Rattus norvegicus: one gene and its partner. Each later gene encodes a partner of the first gene's protein in a complex. Links are inferred from orthologs where the notes say so. Each region holds a gene or a part of one and is shown in the gene's direction. Other genes may lie near its edges.

Region 1 (3,805 bases):
TGATTCCAGAGGTTGCTCTCTAGAAGCTGCTCACTTACCTTGACATTGCATTGCAAAGCAAATTTTTGCTGTCAGGACTACAGCGCATTTTCTTCTGGCTCCAGAGCCCATTCCGTGTGGGTCAGAGAAAGCTGCCATGAAGGTCACTTTCTGGCACCACTCTGGTTGCTCAGTGGCTATACTGTCAGCCATGGAAATCTCCTGTGGTGGTTCTGCATGCTAGCTTTCCTTGCCAGACAGATTCTACAGCGTGCTCTCATGAGGCCTTGCTTCTCCTGACCTTGTATAGCTTCTCCTGGCTGCCAGATAGCCACTGGCGGTGCTGTCTATCTAATACAACAGGACTTAGTGGATAAAGTACTGGTTCCCAGGATCTGCCTTGTCCCAGTCACTAAGGAAATGGAGGACTGTGATTGGCAGTCTCATGAGATGCAGGAATGTGAATTTCAGCACCCCTTGGCCCTTGTCTGCATAGCCAGGAAGCATGCAGAAGGACCTGCTGCAGGACTTTGTTGGTTGTGGACTGTGTGTCAGTGGGGCAGGGAAGGGGGATCGGTTGAGCCCAGGACTTACAGGCTGTGATAGTTGATCCTGTTTTTGCATCTCTGAACAGCACTTAGCATCTCAGTTGGTCTTCTAGCATCTGGAGTTATGTAACATAAACACTTCCTTGCTCCCCGCACCCTGTCTGAAGTACTGAGATATTTATGCTGTCTTAAGCCTGCACTGCAGATAGATGCTTTTGGACTCCATAGTCCTTCTAACTCCTCTTGGGGTGGAGGAACATCTCAAACGCCATCCCTGGGCTCTCGCAGGCCAGAGTCCCTATGCTGGGCCGTGCTAACCCTGCTCTGTCTGACCAGTGCTGCACGCCTGGCTACCTGGTGCCCTTCAGGTTTCATCTTTGGACAGTGCCCACCATCGCTGTGTTTCCCAGCTCTGCAGCAGCACATCATCCATGTGGTCCCAAGCTCTGCCTTTTAGATTCTCAGGCAACAGAGTCTTCCATGCTTCCCCCACATCCCTCCTTGGCTGTGCTCCCTGAAACTTGACCACCTAGACAAAGGTGCCTTCAAGACCTTTACATACTCGTCCCATGCTTGCTGAGGCTGGTTTCCGAGGTTAGAAAGCAGAAGGAGGAGGTCTATTTGCATCCGTTTTGTTCAGTGGCAGTAAAGTAACTTAGTTCTGTGGTCCCTACTTGGTCACATGAACAGTAAATGACACAATGTGCTTAAAATTCTCAGCAATGAGTGGGAATTACTGTCTGGCTTCCTGTATGTACCACGGGCGTCTTCCAGCTAGCTAGGACACAGAGTTGGCAGCAGTGGGCCGGGCCAGGGAATGTACATCGGTGCACATGATCTGCACAAATAGCATGGAAACACTTGCGAAAATGCATCCTACAAACTGAGCAGTGGGTGGGCAGCCACCTGGTCTTGTAGGTCAACATTTCACTGTGACCAGAGTCCTGAAAGAACACTCTTGTGGTCTGATGGCTAGTCAGGAAAAGTCATCTAAGCATAAGATGCTACCCTCTGCCGGAGGCTTACTGTAGTAAAAGAGTCAGCACTAGTCCTCACTTGAGTTCAACTGGTTGGATCGAGAAATGTAATTTATAGGATCAATACAACTCTTAGTTCAAGCCCTGTGCAGCCCACTGACAGCTGCACTAAAGATTGCAGACCTGTTCCTCCCACACCCTCATACTCTTGCTTTTTGCCTCCTATGCACTGTGAAGCTCCAAGGAAGAGCAGGGCTTTCAGGATCCCAGGCCACTTGTTAGAACCTTAGACTGCCTGCCCAAAAGACAGCCAGGCAGTGTTTGTACTGCCTCTAAGGCTTTCACAAAGGAGGAGTGAGTTCTGAGGAGGTCACTTTTCCTGTCCTGCAGCTGCTTTGCAGAGGCAGAACGTTGAGACAGTTCTCAACTACGTTGACCTCAAGAGTCTTTGGTGCAGGCACCTCCACACCTCACTCATGGTGCCAGGTATCCAGGTTTCCTGCCTATGCTCTCTTGTTTCTGAGATGCCCTTCCATCGTCCCAAATGTTTTCTTCTGCTGCTTCAACCTCTGGAGAGCTCTGATTTCAAGTTTAGGCTCAGCTATGGATACATATGGATGCATGGTTCTCTTGGATGAGTAAACGGCTATATAGTTGTCTCTCTTTCCCTCTCTAACGCAGAGGTCACCTGATAATGTCACATACTGGAGAACTTTCACAGTGTCACGCTGTAATAATGCCTCATATTTGGATGCTGTTCTTAATTTCTAGATTTGTCTTGTCATGTTGGCCCTCAGAGATAACTGCAGCCTCAGTTTCTATATGAAGCAGTTTCAGGAGATGGTCTGCTTCCCAGTGTAGAGGCGGCTGTTTCTCCTTTGCAGGACAGGCATTTGAGGTCTTTGTGGAGAGTTATATACACGTGAATGCAAGGAATATACATGTGAATGCAAGTAAACCAGGGGCAGAGGTGTCAGATCTCCCAGAGATGGTGTTAGCACAGTGGTGGGCAATGCTGGGTGCTGGGAGCCCAAAGAGGAAGGCGGCATGTGACACGCAACACTTGTCAGCAGTCCCATCAGCCCCAGGAGTTTCTGTCCTGTTCACAAGTTTTCTGCATCTCTGAATCCTAAAGCCATTTAGAAGCCTGACAACACACTGGTAAGTCATAGGACTCGGTGCCTGGGAGTCCTCTGCTGCACTAACTCCATGCTGTCTGTCTGTCCTCCTGCCAGGAGCAGATCATCAGTTTGGTCAACCAGATATGTGGCAAAGTGTCTGGCAAACACGGTGGCATTGAGAACTGTCTCAACAAACCCACACCAAAAAGAGGTCCCCGCAAGAGAGCGACTGTGGATGTGCCGCCATCTCGGCTCCCGTCCTCATGAAGATGCTGAACCCACGGTCACTCACTTCTATATTTTTTGTAATTACTATATTCTAGTTTGGAGTACTTGCTGTAGGATACAAGCTGTCTTTGCACTAGCTCTAAAGAAGAATTTCTTCTGGTTTTAGAGAACTGATTTTGTTTTAGCATTAAACTGTTGAAGTTTTGTACGTAGACACCTAGGTCCTGCAGTCAGGTTGGAAGCTGCGTGCACTCACTGTCTAAACCCTTGAGGGCTGGATTGATTTGTGTCGCCCCACGGCTGAGAAAAGCCTTTTTTGTTTGTTTTTGTTTTGTTTTGGTAACTGTTAAAGAATAAAGGCTTTTTAACCCATTTTTGAAGAGGGTGAAGTTTGGAGAACAAGTTTTAAAACCATCAGTCAGATGAGATTTTTTCTAGTTTGGAAAAGGGATAGAGGACTCTCACACACACACACACACACACACACACACACACACACACGAAAACTTGAAATGGCTTTTTTTGGCTGTCTTTTCTTCTGACATTGCGAGGGGAGTTTGTAACTTTGAGCCCCGTTTGTTTGGCTGGGCGGCTATGGCAGCTGAAGCGAAATGTGAGGTTTGAGTGACGAGGTTCTCACACCAGCACATCACTATGCATCCGCTCGAGGAAGAGAGAGGACAAAGACTGCCTGCCTTGGAGGGTCACTGAGGGAGACCTGTGCCTGATTTCATTAGGAAATCCATTCTGTTATTTTTTTTTTTTTTGGTGCTGTTGGCTACTTTATCAAAAACAAAAAACCCTTCGATAGCATCCTTGAGGAAAGAGGAAAACAGCAGTTGACTGTAAGTGCTTCCCTGTCATCCACGTGCAATCTCCTGACATCCCACCTCCATCTCTGCTCGTGTCCCTCACACATCAGCATTAATCTCTGTTTCCCACACTTGGCCAC
Region 2 (4,552 bases), on another chromosome or scaffold:
TCTAACATTCACCAGAGCCACCTCCATATTCACTGGTTCCAAGCTTTACTTCAGTCCAGTTCTGTTGATCCTTAGTGTACAATCCAAGATGGCAACAGCTGTGTAAAGTTGTTTATAAAACATAGTGTCCCATATTGTGTATTATTATTTTAATTTTTGCCTTCCCTTGAGGCAACATTTTTTTGACAATGTTTCCTTCCACTGGGGGGGTTGGGGGGGGACACCAGTGGCTTAACACAGTACATGTGATAATATGTATCCAAAGGGTAAGGCTGCAGCTACACTACTCTGGTATTTGTAGTGACGTAGGCGTTTACCTTGTGGCCCACGCTAGTTTGCCTCAAAGTTGCAAGGATCCTTCTAGCCTCATACTTGAGTGCTGTGATTATTTTGGTAGGCTACATGTTGTTTCTTTATTATTTTTATTTTATTAGGGCAGAGAATTCTAGAAACTTGAAAGCACTCTACCTGGGGGTCTCTCTCTCTCTGTGTGTGTGTGTGTGCGCGCGCGTGTGTGTGTGTGTGTGTGAGAGAGAGAGAGAGAGAGAGAGAGAGAGAGAGAGAGAGAGAGTATGCGAGAATATGCCTTGTGCTTGGGAGTCAGAGTGTAATGTGGGCTCCTTACTAGTTAGGAGGAACATAAACTCCAGGTCTTTATTTTACAAAAGCTTATTAACAAGGCATTCCCTTACTGAAAGTTTTGGAAGATGCAATGCTTCCCTTAATGTAAACCCCACAAAGGAAAGGACTCTTGCCTGAGGATAGGGAGGAGCTTTCACTAGTTTGAGTATTGATCTCTCCTTCCAGGCTTTCTTTTCTTCCCACCCTCCCGAGTTTCGCTTTTTGAGACAGGGTTTCACTGCGTTATCACTGGCCTGCCTAGAACTCTCTCTATAGCTCAGGCTAGCCTAGAGATCTCGGAGACTCTCCTGCCTCGGCCACCCGAGGGCTGGGCGTAAAGGCACGCCTATTTTAGGTCAGGTACATGTGTGCACCGCCCACGTGACCGGGAGGGAGGCCAGGGTCAGAGCTTCTGGAGTTAGACAGTTGTGAGCCGCCATGTGGGTGCTGGGAACCGAGCGCCGGGTCCTCTGGAAGAGCGGTTAGATCGCTCAACGGCAGAGCCAGCACTACACCCCCGAGAACTCAGCCTACCTACAGCTTCATCCCAGATTTTATTAGAAGCTCCAGGACTAAAAACTGCGAGGATCTTGAGCTAAAGCGCTGCCCTCTTCGTCTGAGCTTCCCTCCTTGGGTCGTTGGAACGTCGGGACAGGTAAGCAGGTCCGGCTGAGAGTGAGGACTATGCCTCCGCGGTGTGGACGGCAGCTCTATGCCTCAAAAAAAAAAAAATCTATTTAACTTTCTGCACATTTTTGTGTCCTGTCTTTGCGTACGGTAAGCACTCAGAAGGTGAGACTCTTGCTCCACTTATGGCTTCCTTCTACAGGACACCTTCCCACACACACTCTGAGCGGATGCTTTCCTCTAGAGAAGTACAGGGCTGTGAAAATCCCCAGTGACTTCAGGTTTCGAGGGCTCGTCCCGCCTCCGCTGGGCGCGGGAAGGCGTGGGAAGGCCCCGAGAAACTCTCCGAGGGGCCAGGCTGGCCGGGGGAGTGGCTGCCGTGGGCCGCCGCGCAGGCGCGCTGCCTCGTCCGCGTGAGTGCGCGCGTTCCGGCGCGTGTCCCCGCGCGGGCTCCGTAGCGCGTGTGCAGCCTGACGCAGCCCCGCGGGCCCTCCTCCCGCTCTGCGGCGGCTGCGAGGAGTTTGGGGCGTGCGGGCGCGGGGAGGCGGGGGCGAGGCGGCGCGCCGCGAGAGGAGGCGGCGGCGGCGAGAGGAGGCGGAGGAGCAGCAGGCGCCGCCATGGCCGCCGCGCTCACCGACATGGCCGACTTGGAGGAGCTCTCCCGCCTCAGCCCGCTGTCCCCCGGCAGCCCCGGGCCCGCGGCGCGCGGCCGGGCCGAGCCGCCGGAGGAAGAGGAGGAGGAGGAGGACGATGAGGCGGAGGCAGAGGCGGTGGCCGCGCTGCTGTTGAACGGCGGAGCGGGCGGCGGCGCGGGGGGCGGCGAGGCGGAGACCATGTCGGAGCCTAGCCCCGAGAGCGCCAGCCAGGCGGGCGGGGACGAGGACGAGGACGACGAGGACGACGAGGACGAGGGCAGTAGCAGCGGCGGCGCTGAGGAGGAGAGCAGCGCCGAGAGCCTGGTGGGCAGCAGCAGCGGCGGCTGCAGCGGCGACGAGACGCGCTCGCTGAGCCCGGGCGCGGCGAGCAGCAGCAGCGGCGATGGGGACGGGAAGGAGGGCCTGGAGGAGCCCAAGGGACCGCGGGGCGGCCCGGGCGGCCCGGGCAACGGCGGCGGTAGTAGCAGCAGTAGCGTGGTGTCGAGCGGCGGCGACGAGGGTTACGGCACCGGGGGAGGCGGGAGCAGCGCGACCTCCGGGGGCCGGCGGGGCAGCCTGGAGATGTCGTCGGACGGGGAGCCGCTGAGCCGCATGGACTCGGAGGACAGGTCAGTGCGCCGCCAAGGGAACTCTTCCCGGACCCGGTCGAGGGGACTCAGGGGACTCCTTCCTGACTCCAGGGGACTCCCCTTGGGTCCTGTCTAGGGGACTCTTTGGACCCCTTTGAGTTGACTTCCTTGCCCGATCCCCTCCCACCTCCTGGACTGGTGGCCCAGCAGGGGGGACCTCCTGGCAGCGATCTCCTTGCTCCGGGTAGAGTCCGGGCCACCGCCAAGGGGACCAAGGGGACTTTCTCGCCGCGGTCCTTTCCGTTTCTTGCCTCCCCTTCCCAACCCCGCCCGCCCGCCCGCTCGCCTTGAGAAACGTCTTCGCCAGCATCACCCCTGCCCCCGACTCTGGGACCCCGGACCCCAGACCCGGGGGACTTTCTCTCGGTGATCTCCCGCTCCCTGGTTCTCGGCCCCTCCCCCCCAGATCTCAACTTGGAAATCCCGGGCGGCCGCCGCGCCCCTCTCTCGCCACTGAGCGGCTTCCAACTCCTCACCATCCCCCTCAACTCTCCTTTCCCCTACCCTCCTTACCTCCGCGCGCGGTTCTTTCGGATCGAAGGACGACTCTATCCCGGAGACAGCTCCCCCAAAGCGGCCCAGAAGCCCTTGGTGTACACCTCGGTAGCTTCGTGCATCGGTGTTCGGGAACACTTGTCAGAACTGTAATTGACAAGTGTTTTCCAATATGGCTGGTCTCCTGGATCTCACGGGAGTAACTTGTGCTGGGAGGACATCCCCAAGCCTGGCTTTGCTTTACTTTCAAAAAGGACTGTTGGTCTGTTGTGTGTAATCACAGCTTCTCGAACCCCTCACATGTATCAGTTATATCATCTCAGGGGATTTGAGTTTTGGTCATCAAATCTGAGCGACCAAGTTTTAAACATTGTGGAAAAGAACAGTGAGTTTGAATTGATGTCCTTTACAGTAACTTTGCAGAATCAGAAAGAATTGGAGTCATAAGATACAGCCATGAAGGTTAAACAATTAGGATGTGGCTTACTTATGAAAACGGCATTGTGCAGCGATACTTTGATGTGGGAGTCACATCCCCCTTGGTGATTTTTTTTTAAAGTCATGTATGGGGGAGGTGTCTGGAGGAATTGTGGCTTTTCTAGAGCTTGTTCTAGTTAGAACATTTAAGAAATGTAGTATGTTTTGGTTGCTGCTCTAATTTTTGATTGCTTTGTAAAATTTCATAATTGAAGTTGATTTTCAATGTACTTTGAAAAAGAATCAGGCTTAATATGTTCCTAAAGTACATTAGCGTTTACTTTTGACCATCTGCTAGTGTTTTGATGATTAGAATTTATAAGCCAGTAGTGATTTCTCTCCTCGGGTTGTATTTTTTTGGGGGTGGGGTGCATCTGCCTAATCAGTTGCCCTTATTGAGAATTCAACTTTACCTCCCTTAGTCTCTGGATAGAGTCCACACACACCACCATCCCTGGATTTTGATTTGATCTTAAGTTAAAGCATTCTGAGGTCTTTAGGAATTCTGGTTGCCAAAAAAGATGAATATGTTATTAGCTAGTGATAAATGAACAATCTGGAGGAAAAAAAAACCCTCAGGCATTCTTTTGACACTTTAAAACTGAGATAAGTAAATACATTTTCTTTTTCCTCCAACATCTGTACAACAAGGTTTCCCTTTGTAGCCCAGGCTAGTCTGGTATTCACAGAAATCCTCAGCCTCCCAAATGCAGGATCCACCATCTATCTGCCACAAGAAGTGTTCTTGAATGGGTGTAAAACAGACTGCTCCTTAGGAAAACTTAGAGAAATGTGCTAACCTGTAGGTGTGGTTGGGGAAGGTAATGTCTTTTTTTTTTCTTTTTCTTTTTCTTTTTTCTTTTTTTTTTTTTTTCCGAAGCTGGGGACTGAACCCAGGGCCTTGAGCTAACCACTGAGCTAAATCCCCAACCCGGGTAATGTCTTTAAGAAACCTGTGGGGCCGCCTATTTTGGGGGCTGCTGTGCTGAGTTGTAGGCGTGGCTGGGGAAGGTAGTGTCTTTGAGAGATCTGTGGGACAGCCTGTTT

Evidence for each region.
Region 2: the proteins of Jarid2 (region 1) and Aebp2 are in contact, whole or in part, in a cryo-EM structure (PDB 8VNZ), measured with the Homo sapiens proteins. The link is inferred for Rattus norvegicus from reciprocal best matches to the Homo sapiens genes JARID2 and AEBP2. Residues at the interface, in NP_004964.2 of Homo sapiens: Ser148, Lys151, Pro152, Lys153, Thr154, Glu155, Asp156, Leu158, Thr159; in NP_001107648.1 of Homo sapiens: Arg407, Ala410, Ile411, Asn414, Leu415, Glu420, Ser421.

What each region holds. Positions count from the first base shown.
Region 1 is NC_086035.1:19,983,969-19,987,773, reverse strand, and holds part of Jarid2 (jumonji and AT-rich interaction domain containing 2), read left to right. Parts: intron 1-2,739; coding exon 2,740-2,892; 3' UTR 2,893-3,805.
Region 2 is NC_086022.1:175,257,861-175,262,412, forward strand, and holds the start of Aebp2 (zinc finger protein AEBP2), read left to right. Parts: upstream 1-1,683; 5' UTR 1,684-1,865; coding exon 1,866-2,512; intron 2,513-4,552. UniProt on the Homo sapiens protein: Acts as an accessory subunit for the core Polycomb repressive complex 2 (PRC2), which mediates histone H3K27 (H3K27me3) trimethylation on chromatin leading to transcriptional repression of the affected target gene.